4 linked regions of the Saccharomyces cerevisiae S288C genome follow. The protein of the gene in region 1 purifies or fractionates together with the protein of each later gene. This does not show direct contact. Each region holds a gene or a part of one and is shown in the gene's direction. Other genes may lie near its edges. The genes, in order: RPF2, ERB1, RPL17A and NOP15.

Region 1 (3,228 bases):
TTCGTTAAAACATACAAAGATTTTGAGTCGTAACCAGAACCAATTATATCAATGTCATTTCTAAGGCTAACAATATCTTCCCACTTTCTTCTCATTGAATAGCTAGAGTCCAATTTTGAGTTCACCTGAGTAATGACAACAGCATTGGGGAACATTACCAAAATGGAAGTTACCTCATTGGTATCGTTAGCATTCTCCATCTGAGGTATAAATATCTTAGGCTTAAACTTTGTGTCGGTTATTGACTCCATAAAAGTGTTCAATCTATAAGTGGAAAAAATAGTAAAACTATTAGAAGAAGAATCGAAGATAATCGTGGAAAGAATATAATATGTTTCATTGCATGAACTGTCGTAAATAGATGACAGGAAAAGTTGTGAACTTTCATCTTGTAATGGATGAGAGTCCCAAATCTTCAACGTACCATGAGCAAATGGATACAAATCCTGGAGCGACTCTAAAATGGCTTCGTAAATGTTTACATCAATCAATTTTGTTGGATGGGAATTCGTGGCAGACAACTGCCATGTTTGAAAAATTCCTTTGTTAGTAGTAATATATACTAACCTTGTCCCCTTACCGAGGATAGGTCCATTTCGTAATGAGACAACTGAACTGTTTGTATTGAAAATTTTGGACCAGATACCCAATTTGAAAGGTTTATTTAATAGTTTGCCTAACTTCAGTTGAGGTTTACCCATGGAATTTCTAATGGTTATAAAAAATATTCTGCCCATATTTGTAGAAAGCACTATACCAGCAGGTTCGCAGTTTAACATTAGGTCACACTTCTCTCCGCCCGAAGAGTTGATGGGTAATTCTAACTCGTGAGAGAATTTTTCAGATAACTTAAAGTTCAAATTATTTATGGAGTTGATATCCTCATAATATATCGCTTTGCTACCTTTGATAATGATAAGCCCTCCGGTTTCGTCCTGATCATTAGGATTCAGTGCTAATGGAGACTCATCCATTGTAGCAGGGAAAGTTAGTATGCACCTGGGCGCGACTGCTATTTCATCATTATCATCAGAACGAAATGGTACAGTTATATAGGGCGTATCCTTTTGAGTGGAGTGAATATTCCAGATGTAAACCTTCTTGTGGTCATTGACTAGTCCATATCCAATTTGCATATCGATATATCCATTCAATTCGTCATCGTTACTGAATCCGCTACTGTAGTCTGTTTGAAGGGTTTTTACTATGTATCTGTTATTTTCTGTGAAAACCTTGGAATTATCAAAGTGCGAATGTAACCTTAACTGTTGCTGCTCCATGGAAATGTCCATTAGAGAGGCCTGGCTTTCCTCTTCATAAGACAACTGCGCCAGGGATTCGTTTTCAACCACCGCAATGGGTACGCTAAGTTCCTTCCGCAAACGAAGATGTACTTTTTTTTCACTCATATGGCTATCCTAATGTACTTCACTTGAATTGGATGTAACAGTATGCTCGAGCTCCTCTAAACCTTATTCCTAAATGGTGTATGTTTTGGTTTATTCTGCTATTTTGATTCCTAAATCCTCAAATATATCGTTTTATACGATTTGAAAATTTTTCATTTTTTTGCGATGAGCTAAGGATCGAATTTTCTTATAGTGTAATGCATTATTGGAAAGTGATTTGGTATATCGATGAGTTGTATTGAAGTTATCATATCCAAAAGCGCAGGAGAACACTGGCAGAAAAAATGATTAGAACCGTAAAACCCAAGAATGCAAGAGCCAAGAGAGCTTTGGTAAAGAGGGAAGCTAAGTTGGTAGAGAATGTCAAGCAAGCGCTATTCATTCCAGGGCAAAGCTGTAACAAGAATCTGCACGATATTATGGTAGATTTGAGTGCCTTGAAGAAGCCAGATATGAAGAGGTTCAATCGTAAGAATGATATTCATCCTTTCGAAGACATGTCGCCACTAGAGTTCTTTAGTGAAAAGAATGACTGTTCATTGATGGTGCTGATGACAAGTTCCAAAAAGCGTAAAAACAACATGACCTTTATACGTACATTTGGCTACAAAATATATGATATGATTGAACTAATGGTTGCAGATAATTTCAAGTTGTTATCTGATTTTAAGAAATTAACATTTACTGTAGGGTTGAAGCCTATGTTTACATTCCAAGGTGCTGCATTTGATACACATCCCGTATACAAGCAAATTAAATCTTTGTTTTTAGATTTCTTTAGAGGCGAATCTACTGATTTACAGGATGTTGCGGGATTACAACATGTCATTTCCATGACCATTCAAGGTGACTTCCAAGATGGTGAGCCATTGCCGAACGTTCTATTCCGTGTTTACAAATTAAAAAGTTATAAAAGCGACCAAGGTGGTAAGAGATTACCACGTATTGAATTGGTGGAGATTGGGCCACGTCTAGATTTCAAAATCGGCAGAATTCATACTCCAAGTCCAGATATGGTCACTGAAGCTCACAAGAAGCCAAAACAATTAGAAATGAAGACAAAGAAGAATGTAGAATTAGATATCATGGGTGATAAATTGGGTAGAATCCATATGGGCAAACAAGATTTGGGTAAACTACAAACAAGAAAGATGAAGGGTTTGAAATCCAAATTCGACCAAGGAACTGAAGAAGGTGATGGAGAGGTAGATGAAGACTACGAAGATGAAGCGTCGTATTCGGATGATGGACAAGAATACGAAGAAGAGTTCGTCAGTGCCACTGATATTGAGCCCTCTGCTAAAAGACAGAAGAAATAAGACCCATAAACTTTGTATATTATATGATAATCTAAGAGAGGAGAATTCTATATGTATGTAGTAAGTACATTACAAATGATCTTTCTTTTTTTCCCTTATTTTTATGTATTCTGTTTTACCTATGCTTATTTGAACAGCCACAAATGTTCTATTTTTCTTTAGACAGTTCTACGTTCCTTACTAAACGTAACATGTTTCTCAACAACATTGCAATGGTAACTTTACCAGTCATTGGAACGTAAAGAGAAGCTTTTTCCTTGACATCATCGCTAAAATTTTTGGTGCATGCAAAATTGATGCAGACGGCACCTTCTTTGATGTATTCGGTGGGGAATTTGTAATTTTCACTAGGGACACCAGTGATGACCACATCTGAATCAAGAGAACACTTTTTCAACAGATCTTCAGAGTACTCCCCAAGGTCTTCCACATGATGCTTGTTTAATTTCAAACTTTCACCACGGGTGAATTTTTGAATGTTGTTAACGTCCACAGAGTAT
Region 2 (4,874 bases), on another chromosome or scaffold:
CAGTTCGATCCTGGGCGAAATCATTTTTTTAGCACTTTAGCAGCATATTGCGGTATCGAATCATCTTCATGAATGGCGCAGATTTATTTGAACTGTTCAATCATAAATTAACCTTATGTGAATAGTCTGGGTAGGTTGAAACTTCGGAAATCACTTGCTTTTCTGAGGGCTGCGCGTAATCTAGATAGATCTACCTAAATGACACCGATGGCAACTTCAAGCTATACTAACTCCTAGACATTACTTTCTTCAGTATTCCCTTAGTGCCTGTTTTGAGCTATGAGATTGGTATTATTATTTGAAATATCTTCTATTGCGGTATCTGATTTTATATTTCTAGCTTTGTCATAAAATATAAAATACACAAATATATATATAGAGATAAGATAGATTATTTTTGATGACTTGCAAGTTGCACTAGGATTTGTTTTTCTTCTAAAAACCCCTTAAAGGTATTTCCAGAGAAAATATTATGCTGGTTATTCGATACTATTATCCAGTATACACTGACCTATGTTATAAGCAAAGGTTCTTCGTTCTGCCTCTTTAACAGGTGGAGTGCGTGCCATTATCATCAATGAAAGTTTAACATGTAATTGTCATCAGCTGTATACTGTTCGAATCTGTTCATTACGAAGGTTTAACTTCAAAAATCGAAAAGAAAAAAAATAGAAGATAAGAATATTGCATAGATCCTTCTTTTTTAGTGAAGTCACCGAATAATACATATAATGAAGTTAAAATTACAAACCGTGCAAAAACACCGCTGATTTAGAGTGGGCGATTTCATAGATCAAAAAGCAGGCTAAATATGAATTGAAAATTAAGTAGTCTACTATTTTCTGACAGCAGTGGCGCGCGACGGTTTCCAGGAAGTTTATTATTCAACGTGTCCAATTTTCACACGCTGCTTGACATCGTTATTCCCTGAACGCATTTTTACACTGTATGCGCAATTTGAGCCACTTTGATGGACTATTATGTATGAATAGCTTAGCTTAAAGAAGTAACAGTAGAGTGTTGAACCTTTAAGTGCTTGATGTACTCGAGCCTTTTTCTATGATACCTCACTCCAGAAAAAAGCGTTTAACATATCTGGCATTGAGGGTGGTCTCAAACAATAAAAGTATCCTATTTAATATTTTAACATTGCTGATAACCTAAAAAATCTGAACGTTGCCAGCATAAAACCTCAGCTTTATATCGTACTGAATAACATACTTACTGCAGGGCGAAATTTTTCTCAAATTGTGCCTAAATCGTTAAGTTACTAAACTTTTACGCGCAGTACTGGCATTGAGCGATCAATATTGTTTAATGCGTAGTGACGATCTTCTCCACTTATATTTTTTTATTCGTAGTTCTCTATTTTCGTTTCGATTTGTTTTCTCTGTCTACCAGATTAAAAGTGATTTGAAGTTTTTTATCATGAACTAAACAATAAAATTACAAAAAAAAAAAGTCAGCGTCACCAAGGATTGCTACCAATATACGACTTTACTGCTGTATTATCGAATTTTACCTTCTAGGATATTATGTAAAGTCTCTAGCAAAGGGAGAAAACTAATGTTACTAGGACTGAAGAACATTTTCCTCTTATAGTGTAAAATTGATTTTGACAAGAATATAATTAATACATTTTTTTTCTTTTGATAGCAGTATTGAGTACAATGAATTGAGCATTCAAGGTTCAACATGTGATAGTAGCTCTACCGCTAGTATGTTATTGCTAATTAAGTAGGATTGAATTGTCGCGATTTTGTCATTTTGGGTTTTAATAACTCTTGTACGGGTTACCCCATTTGTTTTTGAAGATTAGTGAAAAATTATTGAAAATTTTTTTTTTTTTGGTTTTGCGATGAGCTTATAATTTACATATGTGATATATTCGCATATAGATCCTAGCGAAGAAAGGTACTGTATTAAATCTGTTCTAACATAACTAGGTCAATGATGGCTAAGAACAACAAAACTACCGAGGCAAAGATGTCGAAAAAGAGAGCAGCTAGCGAAGAATCTGATGTCGAGGAAGATGAGGACAAGCTTTTATCCGTTGACGGTTTGATCGATGCGGAAGCAAGTGAGAGTGACGAGGATGATGACGAATACGAGTCTGCCGTTGAAGAAAAGGAATCATCTTCTGATAAAGAAGCCCAAGATGATTCTGATGATGACTCCGATGCTGAATTAAACAAACTGCTTGCCGAAGAAGAAGGTGATGGGGAAGAGGACTATGACAGTTCTGAGTTTTCAGACGACACAACTTCCTTAACAGACAGATTATCGGGTGTGAAATTGCAAACGATCGTTGATCCGAATATTTACTCAAAATATGCAGATGGCAGTGATAGAATTATCAAACCTGAAATTAATCCAGTTTATGATAGCGATGATAGTGATGCCGAAACGCAAAATACCATTGGTAATATTCCACTTTCTGCATACGATGAAATGCCACACATTGGATACGATATCAACGGTAAAAGGATTATGAGACCTGCCAAGGGTTCTGCTTTAGATCAACTGTTGGATTCTATCGAGCTACCTGAAGGCTGGACTGGTTTACTGGACAAGAATTCCGGTTCAAGTTTGAACTTAACCAAAGAGGAATTAGAACTTATTTCCAAAATCCAAAGGAACGAACAAACTGATGATAGCATAAATCCATACGAACCGTTAATCGATTGGTTCACGAGACACGAAGAAGTGATGCCATTAACTGCTGTTCCGGAGCCAAAAAGAAGATTTGTTCCATCCAAAAACGAAGCCAAGAGAGTTATGAAAATTGTAAGAGCTATCAGAGAGGGCCGTATTATTCCTCCTAAAAAATTAAAGGAAATGAAAGAAAAGGAAAAAATTGAAAACTATCAATACGATTTATGGGGTGATTCTACGGAAACAAATGATCATGTAATGCATCTAAGGGCACCAAAATTACCTCCACCAACTAATGAAGAGAGTTATAATCCACCAGAAGAGTATCTTTTGTCTCCTGAAGAAAAGGAGGCCTGGGAAAATACTGAATATAGTGAAAGAGAAAGAAACTTCATACCTCAAAAGTATTCTGCCTTAAGAAAGGTCCCTGGTTACGGTGAATCTATTAGGGAAAGATTTGAAAGATCTTTGGATTTATATTTAGCTCCTCGTGTCCGTAAAAACAAATTGAATATTGATCCTAATTCTCTAATTCCAGAACTTCCCTCTCCCAAGGATTTAAGACCCTTCCCTATTCGTTGCTCAACAATATACGCTGGTCACAAAGGAAAAGTACGCACATTATCCATTGATCCTTCTGGATTATGGCTAGCAACAGGATCTGATGACGGAACAGTCAGGGTATGGGAAATTTTAACTGGTAGAGAAGTTTATAGAACTACTTTAATCGATGACGAGGAAAACCCAGATTACCACATTGAATGCATTGAATGGAATCCTGATGCTAATAATGGTATTCTCGCCGTTGCTGTTGGTGAAAACATTCATTTAATAGTACCACCAATATTCGGCTACGATATTGAAAATAACGGCAAAACTAAGATTGAAGATGGTTTTGGCTACGATACTTTTGGGACTGTTAAAAAATCTAACCTAGAAGTGAACGAGAATGGTGATGGCGATGAAGATGGAGAGAATGAATCTGCTAAGAATGCTGTAAAAAAACAAGTAGCCCAATGGAACAAGCCTTCTCAAAAGCAACTAGAAAAGGATATTTGTATCACTATTTCTTGCAAAAAAACAGTAAAAAAGCTTTCATGGCATAGAAAAGGTGATTACTTTGTCACTGTTCAACCTGACTCTGGTAACACTTCTGTTTTGATTCACCAAGTTTCCAAGCATTTAACCCAATCCCCATTCAAAAAATCGAAGGGCATTATTATGGATGCGAAGTTCCATCCTTTTAAACCTCAATTATTTGTCTGTTCCCAAAGATATGTCAGAATTTATGATTTATCTCAACAAATATTGGTCAAGAAACTGTTGCCTGGTGCCCGTTGGTTATCGAAAATCGATATTCACCCAAGGGGTGATAATTTAATTGCGTCATCGTTTGACAAGAGAGTTTTATGGCACGACCTGGATTTGGCTAGCACACCTTACAAGACACTAAGATATCATGAAAAAGCCGTCAGAAGTGTGAATTTCCACAAAAAGTTACCTCTATTCAGCTCTGCCGCTGATGACGGTACCATACATGTTTTCCATGCCACTGTTTATGATGACATGATGAAAAATCCGATGATTGTGCCACTAAAGAAACTAACCGGTCATAAAGTAATCAATAGTCTGGGTGTTCTTGATGCTATTTGGCATCCGAGGGAAGCTTGGCTGTTTTCTGCCGGTGCTGATAATACGGCTCGCTTATGGACCACCTAGATAAATAATTTGAAGTAGATATTGTATAATAACGCCCAAGAAGAAAAAATCAAACACTCGAACCAGGCTCTTTCTACAAGCTTTATTTACACAATATATATAAACCTATATGTATAGATGCCCACACGCACGTTTGGATTATTACCTTCAATGACATTGCTAAAAGCCCATTTCCTTCATAGCATCCAACTCATCTTGATCTACGCCAAACTCATCTCCCCCTGGCAATAAATCATAATGAGTATGTTGTCCCTCTATATCATTCATTTCCCACTCTTCCAAACTTTGAATCAGTTGAACGTCTTCTTCAGTCATAGAGCCTTTTTCCATTTTTCTATGCGCATCTAGCCATCCTAATAAGAGCTTCTTCTCATTTTCTTCAAGGCCAACGGGCCCTTGTACCCTGAATGTCTTCAATAATGCATCCAAATCTTCCTTAGGCGGCACAACGTTGTTAAGTACCGTTTCATTATTCCCACGTTCGTCCAAAACTCGTCCTC
Region 3 (3,093 bases), 480 kb from region 1:
GGAAAATTACAGCAGTCATTCCTCAATTTCCTTACTCTAAACAATGTAAAATGAAGAGACACAGAGGCGCTATTACTGCAAGGATGTTGGCCAATCTGTTGGTCATGGCTGGCGCTGATCATGTTGTGTCTATGGACCTTCATGCTTCTCAAATGCAGGGGTTTTTCACCAAACCAGTCGATAACCTATACGGGGGCCCTAGTTTAGCGAAATGGATTAGAGAAAATGTTGAAGACTATGAAGATGCAGTAGTTGTCTCTAAGAATCCAGGTGGTACTAAAAGAGTTACAGCCCTGGCGGATTCTTTGAAGATCAACTTTGCTATGATCCATACTGATCGTCGTCGTTCTAAGGATCTGTATTCTCAAAACAAGGATTTGCAACAACTAAAGTTGAGAAAGCAATCAATGTTGAGGAAAAATAGACCGATCATCAGACAAGGTGACCATCCAAATGAGGAGGAAAACATTATTTTAAGTAACGGTATTCAAACTGCTAGGATCCGTAACGGCCACGTTATCGGTGACGATGAGGCAGACGATGATGAAGACGCTATCTTAGAATCTGACAGCGAATTGCATTCTATTGATGGCTTAGACTCGCATGGCTTGGGCGGTACATATGATGCTGTCGACTCCGAAGACGAAGAGGAAATCCCAGTTCTCTATAGGGAACAACTGATTACATTGGTCGGAAACGTCCGTGGTCGCTCTGCCATCATTCTAGATGATATGATTGATAGACCTGGGTCATTTATTAGCGCTGCTGAACATTTGGTGCAAAATTGTGGTGCCAAAAAGGTTTATGTTGTTGCTACTCACGGTATATTCACTGGAGACTGTTTGGAAGAACTTGAAAAGTCCGATGCCATTGACACAATTGTGGTCACAAATACATATCCGATTTCTGGCGAACGCATAGCTGGGTCCAAGAAATTGGTTACTATCGATGTTTCTCCAATTTTCGCAGAATGTATCCGTCGTGATCATTATGGTGAGAGTATTTCCGTTTTATTTGACTCTTTGGCAGCTCTGTAAACAGAAGAGAGTGTGCGCAATATTTTAGTTCTTAAATATGACATAGATTATCAAAAAACTTTGTATGTTTGCCAGATTTCAGTGAATCTGCAAGAGTATAAATTATAGGAATTTGGGTGAATTAAACCATTTATTATGTTTTATGTATCATGGAAAAAACAGAACCTTTATCAAATCATCTATGAAATTTTGACAGGTTAGCCATTTTCCTCATTTTATTGCTCTGCAATAGTAAATTATATAGATTTATGCAATGCTCTAGGTTCCGGCGGCTTTTCATTTAATGTGAACTCAAGACTATTATCATCCAAACACATTACAACATCCGTACATTTAGTTGGCTCCATTTTTTGAAAAAATACTTCCGAGTAAGATGCTGAAAGTAATCAAATTCCGTGAAAAAGGAACCGATTTGGTAAGGGCGGACCTGCCGGAAGAAAATCGCTCCCGCGTGTCTACTGGACTTTGCTTCTTTGCCAGGCGGGAGAATGAAGCCCACCGGCCTAGCTCTATGGGCGCAGACAGGGATGGTCTCGATTTGCTTTCTCACTGCAATGGAAATTTCTAACATTAGAGCTTCAACGGCTAGCATAAAACAACTACTAACGTTTTCAGTGCTATATTCGAAAGAGCAAACAAAGAGTCCTCAAGAACTACTAATAGATTAAAATGGCTAGATACGGTGCTACTTCCACTAACCCTGCTAAATCCGCTTCTGCTCGTGGTTCCTACTTGCGTGTTTCTTTCAAGAACACCAGAGAAACTGCTCAAGCTATTAACGGTTGGGAATTGACCAAGGCTCAAAAATACTTGGAACAAGTTTTGGACCACCAAAGAGCTATTCCTTTCAGAAGATTTAACTCTTCCATCGGTAGAACTGCTCAAGGTAAGGAATTTGGTGTCACCAAGGCTAGATGGCCAGCTAAGTCTGTTAAGTTCGTTCAAGGTTTGTTGCAAAACGCCGCTGCCAACGCTGAAGTATGTCAAGAATATTATATGTTTAGTACCAGATGAAACAAGAATGAGTTGAAATTCAAAATGCGCGGAAAATCCATTATGATCAAGGGAAATTGAATATGATAAATGAATTATTCAGAAAGTCACAATTACCAGATTGGAATGAACTGTCAAGCTGAAAAGCAACTAAGGATTACCATTACGTGTTTATGATTTTGTTAGAAAAATATTGAAAACTTGATATTTCTTTCCGCTAGTTTCATCTTTTTCAATTACTTAACCGGATCAAAATTTTTTTTACTAACAACATAACTATTTTTATTACAGGCTAAAGGTTTGGATGCTACTAAATTGTACGTTTCTCATATCCAAGTTAACCAAGCTCCAAAGCAAAGAAGAAGAACTTACAGAGCTCACGGTAGAATCAACAAGTACGAATCTTCTCCATCCCACATTGAATTAGTTGTCACTGAAAAGGAAGAAGCTGTCGCCAAGGCTGCTGAAAAGAAGGTCGTTAGATTGACTTCTAGACAAAGAGGTAGAATCGCCGCCCAAAAGCGTATTGCTGCTTAAATAGAAGATGAAAAATAATGATAATATAATTCTCTGTTAATTTTAATCTTTTATCTATGTAATTTTATCTCCCCGTCATATCACATAACTCTAAAATAAGTTTTTTATTAATATTATTATATTATATCGGATAATCCTACGTTCAAAGTATTGAACATAGTTTTATAATGAACAAAGGTATAAGAAATGCTCATAAACTGAAAAAATCCCGTAGATAAGATAATAAGAAATGCTACTGTCTATATCAATATGTCAATCGTTACTCATTCCCTCTCTAGTACGGAACGTGTGCGTTCTTCATACCGAGCTATTAGAATTTAGTGAATAAAGGCATCTATCGATTTATGCCATGAACTGAACCAACGCCTGCAGCTACTTTTTCTGCTCCCCCAAGTCCTCCGTTGAGATTTGAAGAAGACTTTGCCGATTGTACTATACCAACCTCAGGTGTCATGTAGCCGCTAATATTAATCACATACATGCTCATCATGAATACGAGTCCGTGTAAACCGATACAGTAAAAGAG
Region 4 (2,912 bases), on another chromosome or scaffold:
TCACGGAGAGAGTTTTTATCCTTTTGCTTATTGTCGGAGCCATCTCGCTTTCTTTGTGATGCCGTAAATAGGTGGTCACAAGTAATGTATCTATCCCTCTAGCTTTCGAAGGCTACTTGTTCAGTTGCACATAGAAGACATCTAAACTCTGGAAAAATAATCAATGGTGCCGAAGCGTCATCACGTCATCCGAATAGCGGATATTTCGAAATTTATAAAAAAGCTTTGAAAACAATCCTAGAAGTAAAGCAGTTTCGTTCAATATGTAAGACGTTCAATTAGTTGTACAAGAGGTTAAAATAGTGCTATAAATTATGGCTATCGAAAATATATACATTGCCAGACATGGTTACAGGTCAAACTGGCTACCAAAGGGACCATATCCACCACCGCCCACCGGTATTGATAACGATGTCCCGCTTTCGGAACACGGTGTTGAACAGGCACATGAACTGGCGAACTATATCTCTAAATTAGATGTCAAACCAGAAATGATTTTCTCCTCCCCATTTTACCGCTGTTTAGAAACTAGTAAACCCACAGTGGAGGCTTTAAAGATTCCATTATATGTCGATCGTGGTGTAGGAGAATGGTATAAGCCTGATAGACCCATTATCCCGGAGCCTGCTACTCATGAAGTTATGAGTAAGTTTTTTCCAAGCATGATCTCTCCAGACTGGGAACCTAGTATTATTCCTAGTAATAAGGGTGAAACAGAAGAAGATATTTTTGAGAGGTGCCATAAATTCTGGCCTGTCTTTATTGACAGAGTGGAGAGAAAATTTCCAAATGTAAAGACCATTATGATAGTTACCCACGCAGCCACTAAATCCGCTCTTGGTATGAACTTGTTGAAATTCTCCAGTGCCAAAGAGCCCATTGATAACAAAGGCACCTTTATAAGAAATGGAAGTTGTGCTATTGATAAATTTGAGCTGGTGAAAGGAGAAAATGAAAGTATACCATTTGAAGAGAGAGAGTGGAAACTTACAATGAATGGCAACACCTCCTTTTTAACTAATGGGGAAGAAATGAATTGGACGTTTATGAATGCCTTTGAGGCTGGTTCAGACGCTGATATCAAAGCGAGAAGAGCAGCTGAGAGCGGAAAACTAAAAATGGAGTGAAAACTAAAGTGAGTCTTGAATTCTGTACTTCTCATTATACACTTCTGCATTTGATTTTTATTTCATGATGAAGCTGTGTGAATATATATATATATATACATATGTCAAAGTCTAGTGTAAATTGATAGAATTAACAGTATCTTTTAATATCCCTAAACTTCAAAATTCAAGGTTCAACGATTGAAAGATGAGCTGTCTAGGTAGTAGTACCGAAACCTTTCGAGTTTTGTGCTATCTCTGAAAACTCATTATCCTGCTAAACCCTTTCTAATGTGCATAGCAGCTATTGCAACTTTAGCATCCTCATTACAGACGGCATAGCAGAGACGTATGCGGTTACCCCCCAGATTTTGCCTGTTTCTTTTCACTATGAAAAATTTTCCGCCATAAGAAAAAATGAAGTAGTGCATCGCATCTCATCTCATCACTTAATTTGAAGACGATTACCATTACTTTTAACTTCATTAACTACCTTTTCTATAGGGTTAAGTTCTAGAGATAAAATAACAGAGGAAAGAGATCGATATGGTAAAGTCAACAAGCAAAACTTCCACCAAGGAAACAGTAACCAAACAACCCACCGAAGAAAAACCTATACAGGAGAAAGAAGAGTTGGCTCTAGAAACATCGTCTAGCAGTTCAGATGAAGAAGACGAAAAAGATGAAGATGAAATTGAAGGTTTAGCCGCTTCTGATGATGAGCAGAGCGGTACACACAAGATTAAAAGATTGAATCCTAAGAAGCAGGCTAATGAAAAAAAGTCGAAAGATAAAAAGACACTTGAAGAGTATTCTGGGATTATTTATGTGAGTAGACTGCCACATGGGTTCCACGAAAAGGAATTAAGTAAATATTTTGCTCAATTCGGTGATTTAAAAGAAGTGAGATTAGCACGTAATAAGAAAACTGGAAATTCCAGACATTATGGCTTCTTAGAATTCGTTAATAAAGAGGATGCAATGATCGCCCAAGAATCTATGAACAATTACTTGTTGATGGGTCATCTACTACAAGTGCGTGTATTACCAAAAGGAGCTAAAATCGAGAAATTGTACAAATACAAGAAGAGAGTTCTAGTAGAGAAAGGTATCACCAAACCAGTAAAACAGCTAAAGGATAACATGAAGCAAAAACATGAAGAAAGGATAAAAAAATTAGCCAAGTCAGGTATCGAATTCAAATGGTGACTTGTCACTTCTCATCCACCCTGAGAAAAGGGTTTTGTAAGATAGAATAGGAGATATAGCAAACTTGGGAAACCATTTATATCATTAATTCCAGCAATATAGTTCCGTTTGTCCGTATTCAATGATATTTACATGATTGCTTTTACGAAGATTCAACGACCAAAATCACGGAGCGGGTAATAGCCTGGAGTTTCCGGATGAAAAATTTAACGGCCCAGAAAAAGAACAATAGCTGCAAAAAAGAAAGCTATACGAGATCGAGATAGTGAGAGAGGTTAGCATAACGAGAAAATTTTTGTCGCATTCGTGGCCAAAAAGCGATATTTGAGAAGCATTGTTATTATATCAATAAATAACAAATATATATATTGTCCTTTTTCCAATAACTATATAAAGAACAAGAAGCTTTTGAAACTTTCTCAAAAATTTTCGTTCAGGCTTCCTCGTTAATATTTAAATTCGATTTTCATTTTCTTCATAGTAAAGAAAATCAATCAACTACAACATAAAATATCAAACAATCATGCCTAAAGTTTACAGTTACCAAGAAGTTGCCGAACACAATGGCCCAGAAAATTTCTGGATTATCATCGATGA

What was found.
Region 2: the proteins of RPF2 (region 1) and ERB1 purify together in Saccharomyces cerevisiae (affinity purification with mass spectrometry; 7 studies listed by BioGRID, with this or other methods). This does not show direct contact.
Region 3: the proteins of RPF2 (region 1) and RPL17A purify together in Saccharomyces cerevisiae (affinity purification with western blotting; 5 studies listed by BioGRID, with this or other methods). This does not show direct contact.
Region 4: the proteins of RPF2 (region 1) and NOP15 purify together in Saccharomyces cerevisiae (affinity purification with mass spectrometry; 7 studies listed by BioGRID, with this or other methods). This does not show direct contact.

The regions. Positions count from the first base shown.
Region 1 is NC_001143.9:591,006-594,233, reverse strand, and holds RPF2 (rRNA-binding ribosome biosynthesis protein RPF2), read left to right. Parts: upstream 1-1,693; coding exon 1,694-2,728; downstream 2,729-3,228. Other genes in the region: NUP133 (Nup133p), read right to left, coding at 1-1,409; MTD1 (methylenetetrahydrofolate dehydrogenase (NAD(+))), read right to left, coding at 2,877-3,228. UniProt on the Saccharomyces cerevisiae protein: Required for biogenesis of the 60S ribosomal subunit.
Region 2 is NC_001145.3:367,594-372,467, reverse strand, and holds ERB1 (ribosome biogenesis protein ERB1), read left to right. Parts: upstream 1-1,950; coding exon 1,951-4,374; downstream 4,375-4,874. Other genes in the region: CSM3 (Csm3p), read right to left, coding at 4,534-4,874.
Region 3 is NC_001143.9:107,563-110,655, forward strand, and holds RPL17A (60S ribosomal protein uL22 RPL17A), read left to right. Parts: upstream 1-1,706; coding exon 1,707-2,015; intron 2,016-2,321; coding exon 2,322-2,567; downstream 2,568-3,093. Other genes in the region: ribose phosphate diphosphokinase subunit PRS1, read left to right, coding at 1-1,037; CCAAT displacement transcription factor COY1, read right to left, coding at 2,902-3,093. UniProt on the Saccharomyces cerevisiae protein: Component of the ribosome, a large ribonucleoprotein complex responsible for the synthesis of proteins in the cell.
Region 4 is NC_001146.8:417,229-420,140, reverse strand, and holds NOP15 (rRNA-binding ribosome biosynthesis protein NOP15), read left to right. Parts: upstream 1-1,652; coding exon 1,653-2,315; downstream 2,316-2,912. Other genes in the region: YEATS domain-containing protein YAF9, read right to left, coding at 1-43; YNL108C (uncharacterized protein), read left to right, coding at 315-1,127; CYB5 (Cyb5p), read left to right, coding at 2,839-2,912. UniProt on the Saccharomyces cerevisiae protein: Involved in the biogenesis of the 60S ribosomal subunit. Required for pre-rRNA processing and cytokinesis. Associates with the precursors of the 25S and 5.8S rRNAs.